4 linked regions of the Anolis sagrei genome follow. The protein of the gene in region 3 interacts with the protein of the main gene of each other region in a pairwise test. Links are inferred from orthologs where the notes say so. Each region holds a gene or a part of one and is shown on either strand. Other genes may lie near its edges. The genes, in order: NECAB2, MID1, EHHADH and TPP2.

Region 1 (7,037 bases), on a different chromosome or scaffold from region 3:
TCTCTCACCCCAGAAGCGACCAGGAGTGACTTGCAGCATGCATGCAAGAAAGCAAAACAATTAGTTAAATTATCCTCCCTGCATAAAGCGGTACCTAAATTTCCTACTTGACAGATGCAATTGTGTTTTGGGCTGCATAGGTCAACAGCAAGCTAGACTATTAATGGTTGGGAGCTCACTCCGACCCGGGCTGGCTTCAAACTCATGACCTCTCGGTCAGTAGTGGTTTAATGCAGTGGGCTACCAACTTGATACTGTTGGGGTTGTGTCCTCTTTATGGTCCCAAAATTCCTGGGGTCTCTATCCAGTCAAACACTAGGAACAAGGAGATTGTTCAATAGGTTTATTTGGCCAAAACTTCCTGCCGGGTGGAGCAACAAAAGAAAAGTGTCACACCAAAACTAAGACGCAACTTAGCTTTATAGTCAAAACTTTGAGCGTACTTTGAGCATGTGCACACAAGCTTTTTCTCTCTGAATTGGCCTCATATTTTTCCTTCCTTTGGTGCCTCTCTTATCAATGTTGTTTTGGTGTGTTATTAGGTTGAACTTTTCCCTAGGTTTGAACTCTTGATTTCTCTACATTTCTCACTCCTTATTGCTCCACAGCATGTGTGAGATTTTGTCTGAACTTTATTTTGGCTGGCTGTTTTCTATTTTTCCTAGCTCTCTAACCCCTTCGATACCAACCCAAATGACAACAATTCCTTTTAATGGTATTTGTTGTTGCTCAGTGTAAGTTCCGAGCCTTGCCATGTTCCAGGGGTCATGTAAGCTACACAAATGTGGCTGCCACCATTGTAATCCTTCTGATGCTAGGGAACGACTAATCCCACTTCGGGCCAACCTGGATAAGCCATTGGTTGTTGTTGTTCATTCGTTCAGTCGTCTCCGACTCTTCGTGACCTCATGGACCAGCCCACGCCAGAGCTCCCTGTCGGCCGTCACCACCCCCAGCTCCTTCAAGGTCAGTCCAGTCACTTCAAGGATGCCATCCATCTATCTTGCCCTTGGTCGGCCCCTCTTCCTTTTGCCTTCCACTTTCCCCAGCATCATTGTCTTCTCTAGGCTTTGCTATCTCCTCATGATGTGCCCGAAGTACTTCAACTTTGTCTCTAGTCTCCTTCCCTCCAATGAGCAGCCGGGCTTTCTTTCCTGGAGGATGGACTGGTTGGATCTTCTCGCAGTCCAAGGCACTCTCAGAACTTTCCTCCAGCACCACAGCTCAAAAGCATCGATCTTCCTTCGCTCAGCCTTCCCTAAGGTCCAGCTCTTACATCCGTAGGTGACTACAGGGAATACCATGGCTTTGACTAGGCAATGGATCTTTGTTGCCAGTCTGATGTCTCTAGTCTTTACTATTTGCTTTCCTCCCAAGAAGGAAGCGTCTTCTGATTTCCTGGCCACAGTCTGCATCTGCAGTCATCTTTGCGCCTAGAAATACAAAGTCTGTCACGGCCTCCACATTTTCTCCCTCTATTTCCCACTTGTCAATCATTCTTGTTGCCATAATCTTGGTTTTTTTTATGTTTAGCTGCAACCCGGCTTTTGCGCTTTCTTCTTTCACCTTGATTAGAAGGCTTCTCAGCTCCTCCTCGCTTTCAGCCATCAGAGTGGTGTCATCTGCATATCTGAGGTTGTTAATGTTTCAAGGCTGGGGTGTTAATTTTCACCCCAGCCTTGCATTCCTCAAGCCCCGCACATCCTCGCATGATGTGTTCTGCATACAAGTTAAAAAGGTTGGGTGAGAGTATGCAGCCTTGCCGGACGCCTTTCCCAATCTTGAGCCAGTCTGTTGTTCCGTGGTCAGTTCTGACTGTTGCTACTTGGTCCTTGTACAGATTCCTCAGGAGAGAGGGAAGGGGGCTTGGGATGCCCATCCCACCAAGAACTTGCCACAGTTTATTATGATCCACACAGTCAAAGGCTTTAGAGTAGTCAATGAAGCAGAAGTATATGTTTTTCTGAAACTCCCTGCCTTTCTCCATTCTCCAGCATCCGGATATTGGCAATCTGGTCTCTCGTTCCTCTGCCTTTTCTAAACCCAGCTTGAACATCTGGCAACTCTCTCTCCATGTCTTGCTGGAGTCTTCCTTGCAGGATCTTGAGCATTACCTTACAGGCATGAGAAATAAGGGCCACTGTATGGAAGTTTGAGCACTCTTTCGCATTTCCCTTTTTTGGTATGGGGATATAAGTTGATTTTTTCTAGTCTGATGGCCATTCTTGTGAGCCATTGGTAGTCTTGCGTTATGTATCCGAATGGTTGCTATGCCTTCCATTGGTTGCTAAACAGGTGAACATGTCCCAGTCTGCTGTTCATTAGCAAATATGAGTAAATGGTGACATTTGGCTCCAAAGGCACCGCTTGCCTTTGCCTGCGGGAAACCTTTAATTAGTTGAAGCTCCCGGCTGAGTGCGGGCGAAGGGAGGGGAACGTGGGCCCAAAGAGAGAGAGAAAGTGGCTTTCTTTGTTATTTGTGCAGAGTTGCTACGAGTCCTGATTTTTCACTGTATTCACTTGGTTGTTTCCAGGTGCAAGGGGTGCTTTCGAACACTGTTTTCCAGCAGGTGGGTAGAATAAGCCACTAAGCAGCCACTTATCATCAGATATTTAGGGCGTATTTATTTCCCATTTCTCTTGTACGAAGCTAAGAGAGTGTAAGAGAAGGGTCCTCAAACTTTTTAAGCCGTTGAGGGCCTGGAGTATAGTTCGAAAAACAAATAAATATGGGGGATCAAGTGGATTCTGTGGTTTGATTTTGATACAATACTTGGCAAAGTTGAAACAAATGCAGTTTTGGAGTGGACTTTGACATGTGCACACTAATGATTTGTGAGAGAGCCGTTCAGCAGTGGAACTCTCTGCCCCGGAGTGTGGTGGAGGCTCCTTCTTTGGAAGTTTTTAAACAGAGGATGGATGGCCATCTGTCAGGGGTGATTTGAATGCAACATTCCTGCTTCTTGGCAGAATGGGTTGGACTGGATGGCCCATGAGGTCTCTTCCAACTCTTTGATTCTGTGATTCTATGAATGAAGGGGTTTCTCAGCCCCCTTATGAAACTACAACTGTCAGGATTGTATAGCCATGGGGAGAGGGAGAAATATAATAATAATAATAATAATAATAATAATCTTCCTGTCGAACTATAATTCCCAGAACTACAGTAGCACAGGGCAGTCAGAGTGGATTCATTCTGAAAGCATCCCTCTGTTGAACTATAACTCCCAGAACTATAATAGCACAGGGCAGTTGGAGTGGCATCAAACTGCATTCATTCTGGAAGCAACCCTCTGTCGAACTATAATTCCCAGAACTACAATAGCACAGGGCAGTTGGTGTGGTGTCAAACTGCATACATTCTGGAAGCATCCCCCTGTCGAACTATAACTCCCAGGAATACAATAGCACAAAGCAGTTGGAGTAGTGTTGAACTGCATTCACTATACAGCCTAGAAGCATCCCTTTGTCGAACTATAACTCCCAGGAGCACAGGGCAGGTGGAGTGGTGTCAAACTGTATTCATTCTCTAGCCTAGAAGTATCCCCTTGTCGAACTACAACTCCCAGGATTACAATAGCACAAAGCAGTTGGAGTAGCATCAAACTGCAATGACCAGTTGGAGTGGTGTCAAACTGCCTTCACTCTACAGCCTAGAAGCATCTCCTTGTCGAACTACAACTCCCAGGAGCACAGGGCAGGTAGAGTAGTATCAAACTGTATTCATTCTCCAGCCTAGAAGCATCCCTTTGTCGAACTACAACTCCCAGGATCTCAACAACACTGAGCAGTCGGAGTGGCATCAAACTGCATTCACTCTACAGCCTAGAAGCACCTTCTTGAACTACAAGAGCCAATGCCATATCAGTTAAAGTGGTGTCAAACCGCATTCCCTCTCCGACAGTGTAGATGCCCCCTCCCCTCCCTCTGGGCCCCTCCTTCCCTTTCCACGCGGGGCGGCGGGTGGGGTTTCTCCTGCCTGCCTGCTTCCCTCCCTCCTCCCTCCCCTCTTCCCTCTTCCTCTCTTTCTTTCCGAGGCGGGCGAGGGAAGGAGGGAAGGGAGGAAGGAGGGAGGGAGGGAGGATCGGAGGGGAAACTCCTCCAGGATGAAGGCTCCCGTCAAAGATGTGTGAGCAGGCTGCGCGCTATTGCCGGGCGAGCCTCCACAAGCTGCTGCGCAAAGAGGAGCGGGCGCTGCCGGTCTCCCCGGGCCCGGACGGGCTGCTCCGCTGGATCGTGGCCAAGATGAGCGACAAGAGCCTCCTGCCCGAGAGGGAGCTGCCCGCCGACGACGAAGAAGAGGACGAGGAAGAGGACCAAGAAGGGGGTCAGAGAAGCCGGCGGGGAGCCGCCTCGGCCGCCCACGCCGAGATGCCCGAGCTGCGGAAAGGCGCCTCTGTCATCTTGGATGTGAGTCCCTTCTGCTTGCGAACGGGAGCGACCCGGCAAACCCCAACCTCCCCCTTTTGACTACAGGCAATAACATCCCTTTGGACATCCCTTCATTGGCTAGAGTTTGGGGCAAAGTTCCCCAGCTCTTCCCCTTCTGCCCAGTTGGAACGGGAGGGACCTGGCAAACCCCAACCACCTCTCTTTGGAGATCTCTTCATTGGCTAGAGTTTGAGGCTTAGTTCCCCAGCTCTTCCCCTTCTGCCCAGTTGGAACGGGAGGGACCTGGCAAACCCCAACCACCTCTCTTTGGAGATCTCTTCATTGGCTAGAGTTTGGGGCAAAGTTCCCCAGCTCTTCCCCTTCTGCCCAGTTGGAACGGGAGGGACCTGGCAAACCCCAACCACCTCTCTTTGGAGATCTCTTCATTGGCTAGAGTTTGAGGCTTAGTTCCCCAGCTCTTCCCCTTCTGCCCAGTTGGAACGGAAGGAACCTGGCAAACCCCAACAACCTCTCTTTGGAGATCCCTTCATTGGCTAGAGTTTGGGGAAGAGTTCCCCGGCTCCTTCTGCCCAAACAGGAGGGACCCGGCAAACCCCAACCACCTCCCTTTAGAGATCTCGTCAATGGCTAGAGTTTGAGGCATATTTTCCCAGCTCTTTTCCTTCTGCCCAGTTGGAACGGGAGGGACCTGGCAAACCCCAACCACCTCTCTTTGGAGATCTCTTCATTGGCTAGAGTTTGAGGCTTAGTTCCCCAGCTCTTCCCCTTCTGCCCAGTTGGAACGAAAGGAACCTGGCAAACCCCAACAACCTCTCTTTGGAGATCCCTTCATTGGCTAGAGTTGGGGGCCAAGTTCCCCATCTCTTCCCCTTTTGCCCAGTTGGAACGGGAGGGACCTGGCAAACCCCAACCATCTCCCTTTGGACATCCCTTCATTGGCTAGAGTTTGGGGCCAAGTTCCCCTGCTCCTCTCCTTCTGCCCAGGTGGAACGGGAGGGACCTGGCAAACCCTGAACACCTCTCTTTGGAGATCTCTTCATTGGCTAGAGTTTGGGGACAAGTTCCCCAGATCCTCTCCTTCTGCCCAGTTAGAACGGGAGAGACCCAGCAAACCCCAATCACCTCCCTTTGGAGATCTCTTCATTGGCTAGAGTTTGGGGCAAAGTTCCCCAGCTCTTCTCTTCTGCCCAGTTGGAACGGGAGGAACCTGGCAAACCCCAACCACTCCCTTTTGGCTACAGGCAATAACATCACTTTGGAGATCCCTTCAGTGGCTAGAGTTTGGGGCAAAGTTTCCCAGCTCTTCTCATTCTGCCCAGTTGGAACGGGAGGAATCTGGCAAACCCCAACTGCCCCCTTTTGGCTACAGACAATAATATCCCTTTGGAGATCTCTTCACTTCACTGACTAGAGTTCCCCAGCTCATCTCCTTCTGCCCAGTTGGAACGGGAGGGACCTGGCAAACCCCCTTTTGGCTACAGACAATAACATCCCTTTGGAGATCCCTTCACTGGCTAGAGTTTGAAGCAAAGTTCCCCATCGCTTCTCCTTCTGCCCAGGTGGAACAGGAGAGATCCGGCAAACCCCAACCACCTCCCTTTAGAGATCTCTTCATTGACTAGAGTTTGAGGCATAGTTTCCCAGCTCTTCTCCTTCTGCTCAGTTGGAACGGGAGGGACCTGGCAAACCCCAACTGCCCCCTTTTGGCTACAGGCAATGCCATCCCTTCAGAGATCCCTTCATTGGCTGGAGTTTGGGGACAAGTTCCCCAGCTCCTCTCCTTCTGCCCAGGTGGAACGGGAGCGACCCGGCAAACCCCAAACACCTCCCTTTGGAGATCTCTTCATTGGCTAGAGTTTGGGGCAAAGTTCCCCAGCTCTTCCCCTTCTGCCCAGTTCGAACGGGAGGAACCTGGCAAACCCCAACCGCCTCCTTTTGGCTACAGACAATACCATCCCTTTGGAGATCCTTTGGGACAGCTCAGCTGTCCAATTTAAGGAGGGAAAGGCATGGATCTGAATTGGGAAGTCCGGGGGATGGAAAAGGGCTCCCATAGTCTCCCTTCCCTGGGTAAGAGTTTGGGTCAAAGCTCCTGGAAATGTCCCCCGGCTCTTCTCCTTCTGTCCAGGGGAAAGGGAAGCGACCTGGCAAAACCCAATCGCCTCTCTTTGAGCTGCAGCCGTCCCTTTGGAGACCTTTCCAGACAGCTCAGCTATCCAGTTTCAGGAAAGAAAGGTTTGGATTGCAAATTGGGAAGTCCAGAGGAAGAGAAAGGGATTCCATAGTCTTCCTTCCCTGTCTAGAGTTTGGGGCAAAGCTCCCCATCTCTTCTCCTTCTGCCCAGGAGGAATGAGAGCTATCTGGCAAAACCCAACCGCCTCCTTTTGGCTACAATGTCATCTCTTGGAGATCCTTTTGGGATAGTTCAGCTGTCCAATTTCAGGAAGGAAAGGCTTAGATCTGAATTGGGAAGTCCAGAGGATGGCAAAGGGATCCCATAGTCTCCCTCCCTGGCTAAGAGTTTGGGGCAAAGCTCCTAGCACTCCTCCTTCTGCCTAGAGAGACCCACAAGACTCAACCAGCTCTCCTTGGCTACAGATATCCCTTAGGAGAACCTTTTGTGATGGCTCGGCTATCCAGTGTCC
Region 2 (7,498 bases), about 130 Mb from region 3:
ACAGGTTAGATACCATCTCCTAAATTTATGAAACGGAAGGAGCAGTGTGCCCAATGATATTTTCCTGAAAATAGTGCTGGCTCTAGATACACTGCCTTGAATGATCCAGTGTGACCATGGTGGCGATACTGCAACCAACTGCTCATTTCTGACTTGTGGCAACCCTAAAGAAAATTTATTATAGCATTTTCCAGCTTGTCTATATGAAGTTATACTCACATAGATTAGATTTTCCTTTCAATGAAGTATTCAACACCTTTTTTTCCTTTTCTTTGTTTTCTGTGGAGCTGAATTTTCCAAGATATTGAGGCGCTCAGAAATATCTAGGGTGACTGTGAAAAAAATCCTGTTTTTTCACAATGTCAAAAAAATGGTCTGTTATACTTGCACAGTGTACTTTTACCTAGGCTTTGCATCAGCTATGAAAGAAGAAAGGCTCTTATGTGGCTTTATTATTATCATTATATGAGGAGAGGAAGGCTGTCAACTTCAAGTTGTTTATATTATTCTATGCTAGCCTTTGTAGATGTCCTTGGAGTTCAAAATTTAGAGAAGACTGACATGAGAAATTGACTATGCCAAGGGACTATTAATTCCAAGGACAACTCTTCCTTCTCCTAAGAAGACTTGTATTGGTGAATAGCCTGCTGGGAATGAGCAACCTTCTTCTCCTGAGACCTCACAAAATTTGCCTGCCTCCCTTCTCAACTGCTCCATTCATTGAGAATGAACCCACTTTAAATCCGGTTGCTGCCTCCTGCAGAATTCTGGGGTTTGTAGTTTAGGGAGGAGCCTTTAAAAGCCTCACTAAACTACAAACCCCAGAATTTTAGAGGAGACAGAAACCAGATTTAAAGTGGATTCATCCTTTTAATGTGATGAGGTCCTCCTACCATTGATTCACCACCAGCGGAGTCTACAACAGTGGAGCTATGCTGGCATAAGGACCAAACCAAATCTGAGCCATGTAACAATCCTAGTTGGATATGTATGCAGGATGCTTTTAAGCCTTTTCAGTAAGAAATCATCATTCAATGTTTCATTTGCTAGCTTTCAAGCACAATAATAATTAAGATGAAAACTGAGAAAAGAGGTGATGTGCACTTTGTCGACTTCAAGCACTCAGATTCTATTTTGATTAGAAACTGCATTATACTAACTGACATTTGACAAACTTGATATTTGAACAACCAGAAATGGCTGAATGCAGTATTAAATTATATGCTCCAGGCCTGTAGCCAGGATTTCGATTCGGGGGGGGGGGGGAGTGTTTTTCAGGGGGAGTTTCGGGGGGGGGGTTAGTTTCGGGGGGGGGGGGAGACTGAGTCTGAGTGAAAGAGGGTCTACCCTAGCAAATCTTTTGTATCATTACCCCAATACCCCCATGCATATGGGATATATTGAGTATGGTGATCAGATCATGATATGAATAAACATAACAGTTTAAATAATGCACCAGTAAGGCCTTTTCGCAAACCACCATGAGAATTTGGGGGGGGGGGGGGCTGAAGCCCCTCAAGCCCCCCCCCCCCCCCCGGCTACATGCCTGATATGCTCAACAGTAGTTACAATATACATTTCACACTGAAAATACATTTTTGATTATATCGTACAAAAATTAATAACATTCAGAACATACCGACATAAAAATATCATTTCATTTATTTTATAGGACAAATAACATTGCAATCATGTGCACGCCTAGTTAGAAAGCTCACCAAATTGAATAAGACCTATTCCCAGATAGATGTGCAGAGGACTGCTGCATATGTCATTGTGTTTATATACATACATGCACACACTCTCACATTCACAGGAATTAGATAACTTGTTTAAATTATAAACTAGTGTTCGTTTCCAAATTTCTATTTATTTTGGTCCTATTTATTTATTTATTTACTATATTTATACCGCACCCTTCTCACCCTGAAGGGGATTCAGAGCAGCTTACAAGTAGGCAAAAATTCAATGGTGCATAAAACAGATATACAACTAAGTAAAAAAAATGAATTAAAAACCATAAAGTTAAAAACATATAGACATTAAAACCTATTATTAGTCTTATTATTATTTCTTATTTGCCTCTCCTCACAGCTCCATTATATTACTAATATCATAACCTAGCTTGCTTTTTCAACAATATAAGTATATACATATACTTATAGATATCATCTTTTCCCATTGATTTCAAGGAACCAAAGACTGCAAACAAAATTTCAGGACTGGAAATGAAACTTCACAAAGGAAAAAACTCATTAAACTTCTTAAATTTCTTTGTACATGTTTTCAAAAAGAAATCTGTATAGCAGTTGGAGTTCCAAAATAAAACTTCTTAAATATCTTTCTTCCCACAATTCTCAATTTTCTATGTCTGCTGGCTTTTAAAAGTTGAATAGTTGCAACCAGTCTTCTCTATCATGTAAAGTCGAAAACAATGCTATTCATTAAACACAGCATACAAGGATATGTTTGTCACCACAGTTTTTTTAAGCAACAGATATAAGTAAAGCTGTCTTGGAATTCTAAATTAAACAACATACTCATGTAACAAAGACTGCTACGCTTGTTCTTAAATTTCTAACTCATTCCATCCTCCTTTCAAGATGCATCTCTAATGTATCTGAGGTAAGAAAGTTTGCTGTCACTTTTGAAAAAAAAAGGCAATATAATTGGAAGCACATGAAGAGTCAGGAAAGCTCCAACAACCGATATCCACGCAGCTGGTGCTTACATACTGCCCACCATACACTGTAAGAAGTTATTTATAACACACACATGCCAGTTTAGGAATGGGAAATCACAGCTGAAAGCAAAGACCCAGGCAAAATTAAATATTTCAAACAAAGCTAGTAGACGAAGCTCAAAAGTATAGTATCTTACCGTCTCCTCCATTATTTCTTTTTCTGAGAGTGGATTCTCTTTTGCTGAAAGTTCTGGGGTAAAAACCAAATCGATAGCTGCTCCAAGATAAGTCGGGGCTTTGTGTGTGTGTTGTGCTAGTCTGCGTTGTTTCTGTGAGGAACAGCTGAACGGTTTTGTAGTCACTTTGATTCAAGAAGCTTTGCTCTGTCCAGCCTACCAGACACTCCCACACTGGAGGGTGTGGGCTGCTTACATGTCTCTCCAGGCAGCTTAAACACCCGACAGCCTGATTTAAGCCTAACAGGTTTCCTTATATACATAACTGTAAACTGCATTCTTGAAATGGAGGATAGAAAAAAAAGAAGTAACTTAAAACGATTTGCTGTTAACTCAAGGAATGCCAAATGATTTCACTAATTCGCCTGCTAGTTAGTACAGAATACAGGGCATAAAGTTTGATATATGCATTAAGCACACAAAGACTATGTATTCAGGTATCAAACTTTCACCACAGTCGGGTAGGAACTCTTGCTTGATTATCATTGTCAGTTTGGTTGGAAATAGGAGAGATGCAACATATGTTTGCCTTCAGTCTTTTTTTCACAATCACTCTTTTTGTGGTTTGTGGATTTTATCAACATTGAGAGTTCTAGGAATCTAAGAATTTTTAATTTTGCTTTGTCCCACATTCAAATTTCTAAAATAACTTCTTGCCATTACAAAAATGAGGAAATTGGTGGGTATTGGGATAATCCTTATCACCCATCTGCAATGGAAAGCAGGGGTGTCATTGTATTGTCGAAGGCTTTCATGGCTGGAATCACTAGGTTCTTGTGGGTTTTTTCGGGCTATAGAGCCATGTTCTAGAGGCATTTCTCCTGACGTTTCGCCTGCATCTATGGCAAGCTTCCTCAGAGGTTGAGAAGGTGACATAACTGTACATAACTGTAAACTGTTATGTAGGGGTGTCATTTTTTTTCACCGAGGGAGACATCAGCCCCATGGTTGCCTTCAAAGGGCTATTTTCAATTTTAAGACTGTATAAATTTAACTATGTTGCCCTGGCATAGAAATCCTAATACATGGCGCTATATAAATAAATGAAAAATAACAGTAATAGGAAAATAAAATGTTGCTCTGGTTTTGAAAGCCTAAAATACTTCCCAAATGTAAAGGCCACTATAGCAAAGGTTGGTTCAAACAACCTCATGTATCATATAATGCTCAGACCCTCTGTAAAGAAGATCAAAATAGGGGGAGCTGCCTTTCTTCAAAATCTCCTTCCTAATTTGTGCCACAGAGCAAGGGCAATTGTATTGTGGCTCAGCTGGGGGGGGGGGGGGCAGAAATAGGCACACCATTTTTTCAAGCAGTAAATCCCAGCCTAGCTCCTTGGGAGAAAGGTTGCCCGGGCCCAGGCCTATTCCCCTGCGGTGTCTAGGACACCAACCATTGTGAGGAGGGAAATGATCTCTGGCCAGAAACACGCTCCTTCACAACTAGGTCCCTGCTGCCTTTGAAATGCAGGCAATGCTTGGCAAAGAGGGCAGCACCAGCATAGGGATTGTCCGGACCTCAGGGGCCACATGAAATGATGTGACAGGCCAGATTTGGTCCATGGACTTTAAGTTTGACACATGTGATGTACAGCTACTTCCATTGCTTCAGGAAGATCAGGTGGGTGTTATGTATGCTCTTGCTCAAGTTTGGTGGGGTACGAGCTGTGCTCTTCTATAGGAGGGCTGATCTGGTTCATACCTTTATTGTCTCTTGATTAGACTACTATAAAGGACTGTACATGAGAATGCACTTGGAATGTGTTTAGGGCTTACAGCTAGTGGTAACCAGACTTTTGTCATGTGCACATTTTAAAGATCATGTATCACTAGTCTGATATAAACTTCATAGTTATGTAATCTGTTTCCAGGGTTAATTTAATGTGCTGGATTTGACTTTGTTGTTGTGTTATTTCTGATGGCAACTCTATCGTGGGCTTTTCTTGACAAGATTTGGTCAGAGAGAGTTTTCTTTTGTGTTCCTCTGAGTCCAAGAGAGTGTGACATGTCCATTATCCAGTGGATTGCCATAGTAAAGCAAGGATTTGAACCTTGGTCTCCTAGAACGTAAAATCCAGTGCTCAGACCATTGTACCATGGTGCCTTCTGCTGCCTTTGACTGCAAAATCCTAAATGACTGGCATTAAAATGACCAGGTCTATAACATTGTCTACAAGAACATAACTCTTTAGATGAGGCCCTGTTGAAATCCAAAGAAGCAAGTCAGTTGAATACAAAGATGGGTCTTTCTCAGTTTTTAAACCTAACTGTTGGACTCCCCCCAAAGAGAAGTCAGGCCAGTCCAATATTTCCTGAGTTTGCAATGTCCAGTCAGAACTACCTGATCATACAGCCTGTGGTCCTTAAAACCAAAGTGGAATTTGAGATTGCTTTAAGTATGTGATTTTTAAACTACATTTTTAAAAAGTGTTTTCATCATTTTCCTGTTTTTATGTAGTTGCAGCCCTTTGTACCCTCTGGGGTTTGCTTCCAAGACCCTGAGTGAATATTAAAATTTGAGGATGCTCAGGTCCCACCGTATGCCATGATGTTTAATGGAAGTTGTCCCTTATATAAAATGGTAAAATCAAGGTTTGTTTTTCAGAATATTTTTGGGGAGAGTGGGGGGGGGGAGATATTTTCAAGCCAAGAATGGTTTAATTCATGGGTGCAGAATCTGTAGGTATGGAGGGCCAACAAGTACATCGTTTGAGTTTGACAGTAAAATCAAGAATTGATTTATTGACCGCACTGACCACCAACCATATTTCACAAATCTAGGCCAAAAAGACACCTACCACATAAAAGAGAGACGTAGAACTGGAATTGCAAGGGACTGCAGGGGTTATCTAATCCAATACCTTGTCATATAGGAGTACTAAAAGACAGCCATTCAACCTTTGTTTAAAGATCTCTGCTGAAGGAAATCTCCTTTCCACCCCAAGACAATCCATTCCAGTGCTCTTCCTGCCAAGATGTTCCTCCTAATCTTGTCTAGACCTATTACTATCCAGATTGTCTGGGATAGCCACAACTGGAAACAATATTTTATGCGAGATTTGACCAAAGCAAGCTAGTTTGGCTACACCGTTTCTGAGTTGGAACACTATACCCTCTTTGATGCAGCCCAGAATTGCACTGGCTTTTTTATACATTGTTGACACATGGTTAGCCCCTAGATGATTTTCTCATGTACACCTGTCAAGTCAGGTGTTACCTATCCTATATCCTTATGCTTCATTTTCCTGCTTAAAGGCACTATATTTATCCCTGTTAATATACATTTTGTAAGTTTTGGCCCAGCTTTCCATATGTGCTTACCATATATATATATATATATATATATATATATATATATATATATATATTCATTCTAGTTGGCTGTCTTATTGGCTTCAATTTTGAAAATTTACTTTTGCCACCCTGAACCTGCAGGCAAGGCATCACCTTTTGAATCCAACTCTGTGTCTACTCTGTATGATAGAATAATCATGGTCATCAGGTAAGGAAAGGGCATAGGGTGAAATATACGTGAGACAGAGCAGCCAGAACAGGTAAGTGAGTAAACATTTTGGGAGAAAAAGAACTTTGAGGAAGTTTGGAGATCAACGTACATTTTTCACTGCGACATTCACCCAGGAGTCAGGAGATTCAGCATCCAGTTCTGCACTAGTGACAGATATATTTTCTGACGTGTGGTGACCTAAAAGGACCAGAAAGTTATATTAATCCATAACTTTTCTCTTATGGCATTTCTTTCCCTCCCAAGTGAACAACAAGATGTTACGATCATCATATTATTATGTTCTGCACAGAAACTTTATCTTTAGTGCATTTTTATGGATGCTATAGTTAGTTATAACTTCCTCTTCCCCTCCAGATATTAATGTTTGGCTTTCATGGTACAGTAGGAGCCAAGGTTGAGCTTCTGGAAGAAGAAAAAAATAAAAAAATCAATGCCAGTAAAAATATTGAATAAGGGAAACAATAGAATAGGAAGTTGAAGCTTGACTAGGGAATGTATTATCTGTACAAACACATTACTCTGCATTAAAGACAAGTCAGCTTAGATTAGATATGGAGAAACTTCCTAATCAGAACAACTAGGCAGTGATGGAATACCTTGCCAAAAGAAGCCACAGCAGGAGAGGAAATGCTTACATAAAGATTAGATAGTACATTTTAAAAAATAGGACAGTAGATAAAGCTTTGTTTTGTACTTCATACAGATTCCCGGTGTTTGTTCCTCATTGTAATTAAAGGAAGAATCCAGTCCCAAAACCACACACTTCAAAATGTCAGAAGTCTTTAGTCAGAAGATACACTGAATTAGCTTCTTCCTTACATCTATCATATATAATAAACAAGTTGTGCCAAATGCACTGGGATGCCTCTCAGACAATATCATATGCACATATTTTATTTCTGCCACATCCCACCATCCACCCAGAACATAGAAACCTTGAAAAATTAAGTTGTGGCCTAACTTGTTTATAGATTAAAAACTCCCAATTCTTTCTATGAACTAGAGCAGAAAGAAATCTGATTTCGGGCCATCCATTGCTTGCATTTTTAACTAT
Region 3 (7,891 bases):
TGTAAATCACAAACACTTCAAAATGTAGAGTAACAAGAACTATCAAAAATGTTATGTTGTATTCTGGCAGTTGATACAAATGAACTCAATACGCTAAAACTTTCCATCAGCTCTGAACTCTCTCTGGTAATGTACAGCTAAAGGACAGAAGCACTTGAATGAACTCAAATAAATATGAATTTGAATTCCCTTTATATGTGGATTTTTAAAATGTATATTGCATTTGATGTAAAGATAAAGGTTTCCCCTTGACATTAAGTCTAGTAGTGTTCAACTCGGGGGGGGGGGGTACTCTAAGCCGAAGAGCCGGCTTTGTCAGTAGACCCTTCAACGTCATGTAGCCAGCATGTTTGGAGGCTCTAGCAGGGGAGCGCATATATTGTATACCCGGGACCAAAGACTGGAGACCTCGGTACACTCCTTCTATACCTGGGACATCATCCTCTTCCACCGAGTGCATAGCTTCAGGAGGGATGCACATGGAGCAGTGAGGGAGGAAGGGGACACCCGCCTAGCCAGCCAGATCAGTCGAATCAACCCTGACAATCAGTGGGGTGACAGATGTTGCAGCCAGATTGCCCTTACATCCGGGATGACTGCATGGAGCATCATTACCTTCACATCTGAGAGGTACCTATTGATCTACCCACATCTGAATGTTTTTGAACTGGTAGGTTGACAGAGGCTAACAACAGGAGCTCATCTTGTCCTGTGGATTCAAACCACTGACCTTCCAGTCAGCAAGTTCTGCAGCTTTGCGGTTTAACCCGCTGCACTACTGTGGCCCCTTGCATTTGATAGGCAACGTGAATTCCATGTTTATGAATGGCCACTTTTTGAACGTAACCATTGGTACTTTGGCCCTTTAATTCCCTCTCCAACCTCACTGTCAATCATTCCACCGCCAATGAAGTATACCTGAAATTCTGGATAAAACTCCATGCATGTAATGACTTGTAGGTAATGGCATAATACATCTGTTAGCTCTTTAGCAATCACTCAGCTCAAAGACCATAGAAAGATTTCACATCCAAAATGCTTTGTTATATAAATTTTTTTAAAAAAACTTTTAATAATAAATGAGAATCCTATATTTTATGCCCAATCTACTAGTATCCAAAGTCTGGGGGAAATGATATCTTTGTGCTTACATATTAACTTGTCCTCAACCCATGACCAACTTTTCTCCTGCCATTACAACATTACTGATTACAACAAAAATTAATCAAGATTCTTTTGGTTTACGGGGATTTTTCAGATGATGATTTACTACTTCTTCAGTGGTGAGGAATATTCTTCCAGAAGTAATCCAAGCTATAATCTGCTTTGCTTATATGTGGTTTCAAGATGGGTCATGGCTACTTTTCCCTGCTGGGTGAAACAGTGACTTCATGGGCCCATCTACACTGTCAAATTAATGCAGTTTGACACCCCTTTATCTGCCATGGCAGAGTCCCCGGTGGTGCAGTGGGTTAAACACTTGTGCTGGCAGGACTGAAAACTGACAGGTTGCAGGTTCGAATCCGGGGAGAGCGCGGATGAGCTCCCTCTATCAGCTTCAGCTCCTCATGCGGGGACATGAGAGAAGCCTCCCAGAAGGATGATAAAACATCAAAACATCCAGGCATCCCCTGAGCAACATCCTTGCAGATGGCCAATTCTCTCACACCAGAAGCGAATTGCAGTTTCTCAAGTCACTCCTGACACGACAAAAAAATAAAAATAAATCTGCCATGGCTCAATGCTATGGAATTTGAATAGCTGTCCATTTAATGAGGCACCAGCACTCTTTGGTAGAGAAAACGAAAGGTCTTGTAAAACTAAATTGAGCCACGGTAGGTAAAGTGGTGTCAAACCGCATTAATTCTCTCGTGTAGTGGCATCCAACAATAGGGCTTCATTAAGTAGAATTAATGCATTTTGACCACTTTCACTGCTGTGGCTCAATGCTACTAAAAGATTACATCTGTAGTTTGGTGAGGCACCAGCACTCTAAAGACCTGGTGAAACCAGAACTCCCAGGATTCAATAACACTGAGTTATGGCAGTTAAAGTAGTACCAAACTGCATTGATTCAGATAGGTTCTCCCTGGGTCAATTATGCAAGAGGTTTGGACTGTGTTCCAGAGCAAGGACTTACTTTGGAGCAAGGACTTACTTTGGAGAAACCATGCATGGCTGCATGGTTTCTCCAAAGTAGCAAGATATACAATCACAGCATTCACAATCCATATGCACTGTTTGCTAGAATCCTGCTTTTGTTGTGCTACAGACAGACATCTACATCAGGCTTGGGCAAACCTTGGACCTCCAGGTGTTTTGGACTTCAGCTCCCACAATTCCTACCAGCTGGTAGGAATTGTGGGAGTTGAAGTCCAAAACACTTGGAGGGACAAAGTTTGCTAAAGGCTGATCTACGCTGTAGAATGCAGTTAGGCACCACTTTAATTACCACAACTCAATGCTTTGGAATCATGGATGTTGTAATTTCACCAGACCTTGCGCCTTCTTTGGCCAAAAGTGTGCTGATACATCACCAAACTACATATCCCATGGTAACAGCATTGAGACATGGCAATTAAAAGTACTGCCAGATGGCATTAAGTCTACAGTATAGATGCACCCTACTATCACGCTGATCTAGGGGTTGATTTACACTGTGATTTACAAGTCACTTTACCTGCCATGGCTGTGGAATCCTGGGAATTGTAGTTTCGTGCAGCAGCACTACCCTTTGGCAGAGAAAGCTACAGAGCTTGTCAAACTGCCATGGTTTGATAGTATGGAATCATAAGAGTTGAAGTTTTGCAAGGTTTTTCGCCTTCTCTGCCAGAATGCAAGTGCTTTACCAAGCTACAATTCCCAGAATCCCATAGCATGGGTCTTTCTCTGGCGACCCTTACCTGAGCGTGTTGAGGGGCGGGTTGCAGACCCTGATCACGCGCACGCCTCGCAGGACCTGAGCCATCGTCGCGCGACCAGCCTCGGACGCCCCAGGAGAACGCTAGACTTGATTGACGGGCAGCGAGAAGGCGAGGGAGGAGGCGGGGCCTCTTGGAAGCGGAAGACCCGGATGGGCAGGCGCGCAAATGGGTGGAGGAGGCTTTCTGCTGGAGCCCAGACTCTCGGTTGAATTTTAACCAGGATGAAGGCACCCACCCTGCAGACAGAGCCTTGGAGTGGCTGGAATCACGTAAAAGGAGATACACCCGAAATCAGTGGTTCTCAACCTTCCTAATGCCACGACCCCTTAATTCAGTTCCTCATGTTGTGGTGACCCCCAACCATAACATTATTTTCGTTGCTACTTCACAACTGTCATTGTGCTACTGTTATGAATCGTCATGTAAATATCTGATATGCAGGATGTATTTTCATTCACTGGACCAAATTTGGCACAAATATCCGATTCGCCAAAATTTGAATACTGGTGGGGTTGGAGTGGGGATTGATTTTGTCATTTGGAAGTTGGCGTTGCTGGGATTTATAGTTCACTTACAATCAACCTACAATTCTGAACTCCACCAACGATGGAATTGAACCAAACTTAGCACACAGAACCCCCATGACCAACAGAAAATACTTGATGGGCATTGACCTTGAGTTTTGGAGTTGTAGTTCACCTATATCCAGAGAGCACTGTGGGTTCAAACAATGATAGATCTGGACCGAATTTCGCATTAATACTCAATATGCCCAAATGTGAACACTAGTGGAATTTGGGGGAAATAGACTTGATATTTGGGAGTTGTAGTTGCTGGGATTTATAGTTCACTTACAATCAAAGAGCATTCTGAACCCCCCAACAATCGAATAGGGCCAAACTTCCCATATAGAACCCCCATGCCTTGAAGGGACTCACTGGCATGAGCCTTCCTCCAGCCTCACATGCTCTCCATGCCTGTACATGTGCACCACACTGCCATGTGTGGAGCATGCCTGCTCTCCGCTCTTTGCTTGGAGTCTTAGAAACAGCCCTTCCCTTGGCTGAGAGGCCAGCCAATCATAGAAGACGAGAGCTTTTGGTGGGAGGATTCTCTGTCTGTTTCCAAAAAAGAAGAGAAGATCAGGTGGAGAGATCCTCAGCCTTCTCTGCCAAAGGGGTTCTATAAATCCACAAAGGGGGATTTATAGTTCACTTACAATCAAAGAGCATTCTGAACCCCACCAACAATAGAATTGGGCCAAACTTCCCACACAGAACCCCCAGGACCAACAGAAAATACTGTGTATTCTGATGGTCTTTGGTGACCCCACTGACACTCCCTCATGACCCCCCAGGGGTTCCGACCCTCAGATTGAGAAACACTGCCCTAAATCCTATTATTTTCTACACAGAGCCAGCTCTCACTGTTATTAGGAGGCATCTGCCCTGTAGAATTAATGCAGTTTGACAGCACTTTGACTGTCATGGCGCTCTTTTAGTGAAAGAGGCGAAGGACCTTATAAAAATGCATAGCACTGCACGATTGCAGTTATTAAACTGCAAGAGGAACTGTGTTCTTATCATACATCAAGAGAACCACTGATTGAATAGGGAAGCTGTTGAAAAAACACAACCAACAAACCATCTACAGACCCACTAAGAAAATCCAACAAATGCTACATTCAGCAAAGGACAAGAGATATCCTCTCACCTCTGCAGGAGTCTACAGTATACCATGCAGTTCTGGACAAATCTATATAGGGACCACCAAAAGCAATGCCAAATACGCATCAATAATAATATAACAGAACTTTATTTATATATCGCCCTATCTCCCTTAGGGGACTCAGAGCGGTTTCCACATATGCAAAATAATACAAAAACGTGCAATATGAAACAAAAACATAGGCATAAACTGTTAACACAGCGTATACATTAAAATCAATTTAAAAATCACTCTCTTCTTCATGCAAGGTAAGCTGCCAGGAGAACAGATTTCAATAAGGGGCCTGGACTATTTGGAACGGGCTGGGTCAAGGCTAGTGCAAGGAGAAGAGAAAAATGGGGCCAGCTAAATGCTACAGTACAAGGATCAGTCTCAGCAATGGCCCTACTAGGGAACTGGGGCCACTCAATTCCAGGGCCAATTAAAGGTCTATAATAAAAGGTATTGGCTGGAAGAAAAGGTGCCCTCAAATGACAGGGAACTGGGGAATGGATGTGGTACAAGGCCAAGTCCTAACTGTTGGACCAAGGGCTTGAGACTTGTCATTATTGAAGGCCTGATGAAACCACCAAGTCTTCAAGTTCTTACGGGATGGGGCCAGCCTTATCTCCTTGGGGAGGGCAATCCAGAGGTAGGGGGCCACCACCGAGAAGGCCCCTTCCCTCGTCCCCACCAACCGGATCAAGGAACATGAAACGCACTGCAGACTACTTCAACCAGAGAAGTCAGCCATAGCAGAGCGTTTGATGAACCAACCTGGACATCCTATGAGAACACAGAAATGCTGGACCATTGTAATAACTACCATATGAGACTACACAGAGAAGCTATTGAAATCCACAAGCATGTGGACAATTTCAACAGAAAGGAGGAAACCATGAAAATGAACAAAATCTGGCTACTAGTATTAAAAAAAACTCTAAAATTATAACAGTAAATAAATAACAAAACTCAAACACAGGAGAACTCCAGACAAGAAACAATCAGGAACACCTAATCACCTCTCAACAAAGGATTTTCTCAAAAAAAAAAAAAAGGATTTTCTCAGGCAGTAACAAGCCACACCTAAAAACTGCCAGGCCATTAAATGTTAATCATGGTGGCCAATGGAAACATTCCACCTACCTCCAACAGACAAGAGTTCTTTCTCCCACCCTGAACATTCCACAGATATATAAACCCTATTTTTCTAGTTTCCAACAGACCTCACAATCTCCGAGGATGCCTGCCACAGGTGCAGGCAAAATGTCAGGAGAGAATGCTTCTGGAACATGGCCATACAGCCTGGAAAACACATGACAATCCTGCATTAATTCTACTGTGTAGATGCATCCTCAGGAAAAAAGAAACTGCACAATCACTTCTCTATTCCATGCATCTTCACTATAGAATGAATGCAGTTTGGCATTGCTTTAACAGTCAGTTTCAATGCTATGGGGTCATGGGACTTCTAGTTTTACAATGTCTTTAGTTTGTTTTTGTTTTTTTGCCAAATGGTGCTGGTGCCTCACTAAACTACAACTCCCAGGACTGTATAACACGAAGCCATGGCAATTCAAGTGGTATCAAGCTGCATTAATTCTTCAATGTAGATGCACCCTAAGAAAACTTTATGACATTCATGAAGTTCACCATAAAGCAGCATGTGATTGCACATACACATATTGGCATTTAAAATGGTCTCTGATGCACACACTCCCAAAAAGAAAATAGCACAAATGTTGTACAAAAGTGGCACACACTGATTTAAATGCAGACATAACAATTTAAACAGAACCAAAGCAGAATTTTTAATGGAAAGACCATGATTCATGTTCCTGCCACATCAGCTCCTACTTGCTGAGGAGTTCTTTTTTATAAATGATTTCAAATTATTTTTTATTTTCCTCAATCTGATAGTTCAACTGCTTGTTCTTTCTGGGTGATGTTACTAACACTATGTAACAAAATTTGAAAAAAAAATATGTTCCTGGTTTGAAACTGTTATTTCCTGCTTAATTGTGTTTTACTTACTTCGAAAGTAGTTGTTATACTCCAGAAACTTCATTTTTGTGGCTGTCATTTTTAACCTTTCAATGTGCCATTTTTAACCTTTTGTGCAGACCGCAAAAACAAAGCTTTTCCAGTTTAATAAACTTTACCCATGTTTTTATGATAGCACCAATGAGGAAAATGACATTTATAACCCAGGAACAAAAATCATGTTACATAGTGTAATCAATTACATACAATATTGAGACGGTTTTAAACAGGATTTTAACATTGAGTTAAGTGATTCTAATGTTTATGTATATGTATATTTATGTCCCGGCATTGAATGTTTGCCATTTATATGTTGTTCTCCGCCCTGAATTCCCTTTGGAGTGAGAAGGGCAGAATAGAAATGTTTTAAATAAATAAATAAATAAATATCTGGTTTTTTAAATAGAAGAAAATGGGTGTGTCTGTGTGTAATTTTACTCAGCTCTGTGCTTAGCATTAGCCAGCTGTTCAGCTATGAAGTAAACAAGGACATCAGATTATAGATAAAGCACACTGTGTTTTCAAGGGACAGTGTGTGTGTTGGTTCAGGCTAGGACTGACAAAAGATGTGACTGACCTCAATTTATATGAGTGCAAGCTACAAATCCCACCATGGCACTATCTTTTCATAGTGGTAGGATTGTGTGCTTCTCTGAGGCTATGCTGACAGTAGCAGTGCTGCCGATAGGGTCTTTCGTGTTAGACAGCCTTTTGCTGCAGAGCCAGACAAAATGTGCCAAACAGCTGCTGGGCAACAGTAGGTGGATTTCTGTGACACTGGTGGACAATCTCTCAAAGACAACAGTAGTAGCATCAGATCTAATGCTTGTTTGTACAGCACTGAGGGAGGCATGGTAAATCCCTTTCAAATGTCTTTTATCATGAAACCCCTATGATGAGACAATCCAAAATGAAAAGAGATAGTACAAAAGATGGAACGTTCAGGTTGGAAGGCATTCAGCTACCGGGGAAGAACAAAAGACAAGGACATGTAGAGCTGTGGCTAATGATGTGACTGCACTCAAGCTGGAAGAACATTCAGCTGTTGTTATGCCCAGGTATGAAAGGAGCCGTGGAACACATATTAGACAGCCCTACCCCCATAATTCTTGGTGTCTTGTCTAGTTTATTTGAGGTTTTTTTTTACCTGTTCCTTGGGTTACTTGGGGCACTGATTCAGAAAATTGTATTAGATGGACCACATCAGCTCTAGTTTC
Region 4 (7,923 bases), about 110 Mb from region 3:
GTTACTTGTGATATTTAATTTATGACTAATAATTCTTAAGATTCCACTGTGTGCAACCTAAGATGTTTTAAAAGAACTCAAGGCAGTTGAAGGGTGTGTTGGGAAAAAATGTCTCTTAAAATATGCAGAACTGAGATTGAACACTTGGATGACAATCTGGGCTTGGTCAGGAATACTGAGAACCCTATCTTTTACCCATCTCAGTTGGGAGAGCACCAAAACAGGAAACAGAGTTCAAACCTTATTTATCTACTAGCTTACTTGTTCTCCTTGATTTGTTTCTATGTTGAGTGAACTACTTTAAAAAAATCATTATACACATAATCTAAACTTCACCATTAAGACCACCAGTTGTCACTTGCAGATACCAATGTCTAGTTTGATTTCCATGTTCAGAGAGTATCCGATTATTTTAAGGCATGTTATCTGCCCCTTTTGTTTATGTGCTGACTCCACCCCCACCCCCACTGCCCACAAAAAAAAACAGTTTGTCATTTGACTGAAATAATTATGTTTTATGTTCAAGACAGCTCACCTCCATGTAGGAAATCATGGCATTTACTGGTAGATTTTATGCATTTATATGAACTATCTCCTCAAACTGGAACCTATGGCAACATACAAGTTTTAAACACAAAACATTTAAAGAGTAAAACACAAACTATAATATATAAAAACTATCCCATTCCTACTATTTTGGACAACTATATACCAGTAACTTATTTACCATTCATTACCAAGAACCTGGAATGGGTGGTGGCCAAACAACTCCAAAGATTTTTGGATAAAGCTGATTTTCTAGATCCATTTCAATCTGGATTCAGGCTGGGACATGTGATGGAAATAGCTTTAGTTGCCTTGAGTTGCCTTGAGAGCAGAGAGCTGGACAGGGGGAGTGTGACCCTGCCAGTCCTTCTGGATCTCTCAGCGGCTTTCAATACTATCAACCATGATATCCTTCTGGAGTGACTTGCGAGGATGGGACTGGGAGGCACAGTGTTGCAGTGGTTCGTCTTTCCTTTTGGGCCACCGCCAGAAGGTGGTGTCGGGTGGGGAGGTCCTGCTCAGCCCCATGGTCTGTGGACTGTGTGGTCCCGCAGGGCTCATCTTTATCCCCAATGTTGTTTAACATCTACATGAAACCACTGGGAGAGATCATCCAGAGGTTTGGAATTCAGTATCATCCATACGTGGATAATGCTAATCTCTATTACTCCTTTCCAACAGATGCCAAGGAAGTCGTTCCACACCTGAACCAATGCTTGAGGTTGGTAATGGACTGGATGAGGGTAAACAAATTGATGCTTATTCCAGATAAGATGGAGGTACTGCTGGCCTTGCGTAAGATTGATCCAGAAATAGGGTTACAACTTGAGCTGGATGGGGTTACACTCCCCCTGAAATCCCAGGTTTGGGGATGATTCTGGATTCTGCCTTAAATCTGGAAGCCCAGGTGGCAAGGTAACCAGGACTGCCTTTGCACAACTAAAACTTGTGTGCCAACTGCACCCATTCATGGAGAAATATGACTTGGTCACTGTGGTACATTTGGACTACTGTAATGTGCTCTACATGGGACTGCCCTTGAAAAGTGTTACTTACCAGGTTACTTATGGAAGTTGATTCCAGGAAGCACACCTGTTGAAACAGCTCCATTGGCTCCTGATTTGTTTCTGGGTCCAATTCAAGGTGCCGGTTTTAATCTATAAAGCCCTGCATGACTACCAGCCTGTATAGGGCGTCCGTGTCCCCGTATACGGGCCAGTAGACCTCTAAATTGTTTTTAAATTGTTTTTAAATGGTGTTCAATTTTAGCCTGTTCTTGTAAGCCGCTCTGAGCCCCAGGGGAGTGGCGGCATATAAGTTCAAATAATAAATAAATAAATAAGGTCTAGTAAGGAGACCCTGATTTTTACACAGTCCCTGGCCAACATCCACTTAAAAATCACTAGAGAAGGGACATTCTTGGGGGCGGCTTCTAAGTTGTGGAACTCACTGCCAGAGGAAATTAGATTGGTTCCCACCATCATGATATAAGAAAGACATGAAGACTTTCCTCTTCGAAGCAACTGAAGCCAGTAAAAATGAATTCAAAAGAATGGGAATTTTAGGCTAAAATTTACTTTTAATGTTTAATAATGAGGAAAGTTTTAAAGAATTAGTGAACCTCTAATATTTGTATAGTTATGGTTTTTAATTATTTGTATGTCTGATATAATGTGAGCCGCTTTGGGTTCATACTGGAGAAAGGCAGCATAGAAATTTCCGTAACAAATAAAATAAATACATTGAATTAAAAGCAATCCAACACACAATTAAAAAGCACCGAATCCTTCCTCAACAGTCATTAAAAGCTTGACCTGCTGACAAGGCTAGACAATCCCATATCAAATGTCTTGCTTGGCCCGATCTGCAGCTACTGCATTCTGCTGACTGTAATTACAGAGCTCTATTAGACTGGGAACCTTGTTTAACATGTAAGACTTAGTAATTATGTTCACTTAAACACATTGACACCACTTTTAGATGCCTTTCATATCAACATTTGGTGGGGAAGTGGAAAGGGCAGGTCAAAAGCGTGGTTCCTTGGTATTCTGTATGAGGCTTAGGAAAAATGAACTAGAACTAGATCCTCACAATTATCAAAATGGGTGTACCTACAATCAAGATGTCTTCAAAATAACATGTGAAGATGTTTATAGTGTCAAAGAGGGAGACAGCTTGCATAGCATCATCTGACACTGCTTCTCCTAGAGGAAATCCAAGAGATGACTCACTAGGACTCCTTCTACACTGCCATATAATCCAGATTATCAAAGCGGATAATCCACATTATCTGCTTTGAACTGGATTGTATGAGTTTACACTGGCATATAATCCAGTTCAAAACAGATAATCTGGATTTTATATGGAGGTGGAAGAGGCCTAGTTCCTGCATGAAAGACTATCTAATGAAGGAGAGTCTGTCCTTCCTACAGATGATCGGCTTTGTTTTTGAACAGCTCTTATCATGAAGAGGTTTTTTCCTGATGTTCAATTGAAATCTGTCCTCCTATAATTTGAAGACATTTACTCTAGTCTGTGGCAAAAATGATTTTGTGAATAACTTCAGGTCCTGGATTTTAATAGCTTGCAATTCTGGGAGCTGTTGCCTAAATCATGAAGTTGCAAAGTTCTGCAGTAACAAGACTGTTATCATTCCCATTCCCCTTCATCAGGATAAACATGACGAGTTCTTCAAACTTTTCACATAGGACTTCTTTTTGTTCTGCTGTCCATATGTGAAAATGTTCTTCCTTCCTTATGTTCCAATTCAGCTTTATCTGTCAGTCAGGGATGAGCACAGTATACTGTAGCCTCCATTGACCCTAGCCAGCATCACCAACCTGAGAGTTGCAGTCCAGCAGCATCTGTAAGGGCCCAATTTGCCTGTTCTAAATGTACAGTGCCCAAAATTGGATATTGTGCTACAGCAGAGTTCCCTATATGTCAGGAAAAAAGAGAGAAGAGAAATAGAAAGGGTAAACACAGAACAAAAAACCAAGTAGACTGGAGTGTCCAATATCCACAGATATCAACTCAAGATCTTCTGTTACATCATGCTGTGCAGGAAGGCATTCTTCCATTTCTAGCTTCAAGGCTGTTATTGGGGGACTGCTCTGATAAGCATATTAGCTGCAATATTGTCCTCCACTGTCTTCTTCTGTGAGTTTTTAATTCACACTTTGAATTCTTTGTGCTTTCATGAGGCACCCATGGTTCCTCATGCAGAAAATATTTTTCTCAGAATTTCTGATGCCAACTCTTGAGACATAAAAACTCTGTACTCCATGCAGATTGTAGGACACACTTACAACTGCTATAAAGTAGACATATGTTCAGCAATTCACACAGAAATACACATGTTTCATTCTACAAACACACTGAATACAATCTGATGATTATCTACACCATAGTTCAGGATTCTCGAAACCTATCTTTACAATTTCAGCAGTATGTATGTACACAGTACATACTGTGTATCTGATGAAACTATGGATAACATTGAATCCTATAGTTTACCAATACTTGGATCAGAAACATATAATAAAATAACACTGGAGAAGCTAGGGAGGTGCACAACACTTCCAGGACATTTGCTCTTTTTTTTCCCCTTCCCTTTTTTTGGTGCTGGTTATTGACCTTATTTATTTATATCCCGCTTTATCTCTGCTGCAATATTATTAGTAATATTATATTATTACATATGATTGTATTGTACTATATTACTCTACCACTCTCTACATGTATTGCCATGTTTAAGTAATAATGCTGATTTTGGTGCATCCTCCATATTTGTATTCTTATTCTTATTTATTTAAATACCCTTTTCCAAAATTGTTGTATAATTTTACAGGATCACTATATATGAAAATATGAGCCTATTTCCTGACAGCCTCTCCAGTACTGATTTAAGCATTTTTATCTATCTGATTTAATCTAATCGGGATCAAGTACCATATCCATACCGTTTTGTAATAGTTTTCCTTAATTATTATGGACATATTTTTATTTAGTAATCGCATACGCCATACCCTGGCCCATTCTTGGTTCTCCCACCGGTATATTACACGATTAGTATAATAAATATGTATGTTCCTGTGAAAAGGGCCTTGGGAGCGCTATGGATCCCAAACGGAACCTGAGCCAACAGAGGAATCTCGCGTTGTTTGAGGGAGAAACAGCTTGGGTGGCGTAGTCGAAGATCTCGGACTTGCCGGCCCCTTTAAGAAACGCGGTACTTATTTCCTCATTGGTCTGAGCCAGGACCAATCAAATTCCAGTTCTCTTCTCGCGCTTCAACCTGATTGGCTGCTTCCTTCCGGGCGTCAGCTCTGCTCTCCGCAAAATCTCCCTTCCGACTTCGGCATCTGTTGTAACCAGTAAAGCAGCTCGCCGCGCTCTCTTCGGGGTGGTGGATTCCCATTGGCTGAGCAGCGCGCGCATGCGCCGGCCGGGAAAAAGAAGCCTGAAACTCTCTTCCTTCCCGGAGGAGCCGCGGTCTGGGTTTGCCAGAGCCGTGACGTCACCTGGGTCCGCGCGACGCCTTCCTCGTGTCGCGTGCGTGCGTGCCTGGTGGCCCACCTGACCCCCCCCTCCCTCCCTCCCTCCCCCGCCTCGCGCGTTTTCTCCTCACCCAACATGGCGGCGGGGGCCGTGGAAGAGCCGTTCCCCTTCCAGGGGCTTCTTCCCAAAAAGGAGACCGGCGCGGCCGCCTTCCTCTCCCGCTACCCGGAGCATGACGGGCGGGGGGTGCTAGTGGCCATTTTGGACACGGGGGTAGACCCCGGCGCCCCGGGGATGCAGGTAAGCGGGGCGGGCGTGACCTGTTGGTGGGGCTGCTTTTGGCTTGTCTGAGGGAAGAAGTTTGGGATCAGGAGGGATTTATGATGACTTCTGAGGGCCTCTGTTTAGAGGAAAGTACAGTAGGGAATTTTCTTAGGCCCTCAGAGGAGTAATCGCGCTCATCAGCATCCAGTGCCTGAAATGGTCAGAATTTAGTCGTTTGTAGAAACGAGCCGCAACCACAGGGAAAGCCCTGCTGAATCCAGCCAAAGGCCTTTCAAGCCCAGCATCCTGTTTCTTACACAGATTGAGGGTTTTCTGAAATGCTTGGGAAATCCACCAGAAGTGTAGATTTGACCTTATATTTTATTAGTATCGGTGTCTGTCCTTGATCTGTGTATATTTAAATCTATGCACTTTTATCTGGGTTTTGCATTTTATCTGAGTTTTCACCATGCTGTACCCTGTCTCAAGCCATGAAAAGAACCGCATAACAAGGAAAATGTATTATTAATATGTGATTTCAGATTATTGTTGTTGTTGTTGTTGTTGTTATATGGATCTCCCGGTGGCACAATGGGTTAAACCCTTGTGCTGGCAGGACTGCTGACCGAAAGATCGGCGGTTTGAATCCAGGGAGTGGGGTGAGCACCTGTCTGTCAGCTCTAGCTCCCCGTGCAGGGACACAAGAGAAGCCTCCCACAGAATGGTAAAACATCAAATATATATATATTGGCATTGAATCTTGCCAATACTTTTTGTACACGGCTTTGAACCCCCCCCCCCCCAGGAGTGAGAATATAAATGCAGTAAATAGAGAAATATCCGGGTGTCCCCTGAGCAACATCCTTGCAGAAGGAAAAATCTCTCACACCAGAAGCGCCTTGCAATTTCCTAAGTTGTTCCTGACACAAAAACATTATTATTATTTTGGGTTACCTGTATTTATTCCCATCTACATGATGAAAGATTTCTGGGATGTGATCCAAACATAACATTCATTTATGCATGTTATGTTTAAACACATAGCCTGGGGGTAATTGTATATGCTACATTTGTAATAATTTAGTGCATGGAACAAAGCTTGTGTACACTGAACCATCAGGAAACAAAGGTGTCACTATTTCAGCTTCCCATGTGGATGATTTTGCATCTCAGAGTATTTTGGAATCCCAGAGAAAGCATGCTCATGATGTCTGTAGTGGGAAGCTTGCAAGCATAACGTGAATTGTCTTGTTTTGTAGTGTCCTCTGAAATTGTTTCTTTGGATACAATACCACTGAATTGTTGAGGTAGCACATTATGTTTGGAGGCACTAACAGAATTATTGTTGTAATTGAAATAAAGGTTCTGCAGGAACCTGGTTTATTGTGCATATGTAAGCAAATCATAGATTTAGCATGACATCCAGAGCCGATAGGATAGAGGTTTCCAAATATTTCATGTTGGTGACACACGTTTTAAACACATATCATTTTGTGACACAGTAATTCAGTTTTACTATCAAACCGGAGTTTAAACCAATTCCTGATAAGAGATACAGGTACATACATAATTTGGAATAACAAAATGTATATCTCATATTTATTTTTATTTCACATAAACACAGAGGTTTCTCATTATTTTCGTGCAACACATTTACACACTACAACCAACACATAGTTTGGAAAGTTCTGCAATAGAAGAATACTTTTCGAACTTGAAATACTTTTGCCCCAAATATCTGATCACCTCAATTAACCTTTTGGCAGGTGTTGGCAGAGGACTGCATTGACATTTGGCTTCCTCTGGTTCTATAGGCTTCATTTTGTTCATTCCTGTGCTGAACATATCCTGAAAGCCATGTTTTCTTTGCTTACTTTCAGCAAGTGAGTGCTTTTGGACCAAAGGATTCAGTATGCTAGTTCATGTATAACTAGCTTGGATTCTGCTACTGATAGTGGTGTCTGCAAAAGCCTGTAGAATGGTAGAAAACAAATGTCTTTTTTAATGGCAAAATGAAATCACTTGGGTTTGTTGCAGTGGAAGAGCTTGTGGTTGCATTAAGATACTTGAAGAATGACCAGAAATTTTGTTTTGGAGCAGATTTAAAAATGTATCATTTTTTAGTTGTAGGAATGCCACCCTCTCGTAAACACTTTATTCATCTTCCTAAAGAAAATCATTCCACAACAATCTGTTCATTTTTCCTTCTATTTTTAAATGGCATCTTGGAGAGGGAGGATATTTTATAGACTTTCACAAATCTATGTGATTTCATTTCAGTGAGCAAAAGCAAACCAGTTCTTTCTTAGTAGGGATTGGGTCATATCCTCTAACTATAGTTATGCTTACTGTGTATTATGAATGAGGATTTTTTGTAGTGTTAGCTGCTAATCAGAATTAGATCAAGGGAACACCTTGTTTACACCCTGAGGAGGAAGGAGTATACATTTTTTAATATGTGGGAGCATGACACCAAAGGATGTTTGCTTTTGTGAAGTCAGTGTTCAGGCAGCAGTGATGATTATAATGTTTGCCACTTATAAGGGTGGATAATACATTAGATGTGCTATTAAAGAAAAGTATTTCTGCCTGTAAATGGACTGACATTACTGT

The links.
Region 1: the proteins of EHHADH (region 3) and NECAB2 interact in binary tests that used the Homo sapiens proteins (3 or more experiments, as listed by UniProt). The two-hybrid records come from large-scale screens. The link is inferred for Anolis sagrei from reciprocal best matches to the Homo sapiens genes EHHADH and NECAB2.
Region 2: the proteins of EHHADH (region 3) and MID1 interact in binary tests that used the Homo sapiens proteins (3 or more experiments, as listed by UniProt). The two-hybrid records come from large-scale screens. The link is inferred for Anolis sagrei from reciprocal best matches to the Homo sapiens genes EHHADH and MID1.
Region 4: the proteins of EHHADH (region 3) and TPP2 interact in binary tests that used the Homo sapiens proteins (3 or more experiments, as listed by UniProt). The two-hybrid records come from large-scale screens. The link is inferred for Anolis sagrei from reciprocal best matches to the Homo sapiens genes EHHADH and TPP2.

The regions. Positions count from the first base shown.
Region 1 is NC_090028.1:8,410,362-8,417,398, reverse strand, and holds the start of NECAB2 (N-terminal EF-hand calcium-binding protein 2), read left to right. Parts: upstream 1-4,009; 5' UTR 4,010-4,125; coding exon 4,126-4,410; intron 4,411-7,037. UniProt on the Homo sapiens protein: May act as a signaling scaffold protein that senses intracellular calcium.
Region 2 is NC_090023.1:92,978,593-92,986,090, reverse strand, and holds the start of MID1 (E3 ubiquitin-protein ligase Midline-1), read right to left. Parts: upstream 3,067-7,498; 5' UTR 2,881-3,066; intron 1-2,880. UniProt on the Homo sapiens protein: Has E3 ubiquitin ligase activity towards IGBP1, promoting its monoubiquitination, which results in deprotection of the catalytic subunit of protein phosphatase PP2A, and its subsequent degradation by polyubiquitination.
Region 3 is NC_090023.1:222,668,562-222,676,452, forward strand, and holds the start of EHHADH (peroxisomal bifunctional enzyme), read right to left. Parts: upstream 3,153-7,891; 5' UTR 2,969-3,152; coding exon 2,904-2,968; intron 1-2,903. UniProt on the Homo sapiens protein: Peroxisomal trifunctional enzyme possessing 2-enoyl-CoA hydratase, 3-hydroxyacyl-CoA dehydrogenase, and delta 3, delta 2-enoyl-CoA isomerase activities. Catalyzes two of the four reactions of the long chain fatty acids peroxisomal beta-oxidation pathway.
Region 4 is NC_090023.1:113,554,513-113,562,435, reverse strand, and holds the start of TPP2 (tripeptidyl-peptidase 2), read left to right. Parts: upstream 1-4,910; 5' UTR 4,911-5,181; coding exon 5,182-5,346; intron 5,347-7,923. UniProt on the Homo sapiens protein: Cytosolic tripeptidyl-peptidase that releases N-terminal tripeptides from polypeptides and is a component of the proteolytic cascade acting downstream of the 26S proteasome in the ubiquitin-proteasome pathway.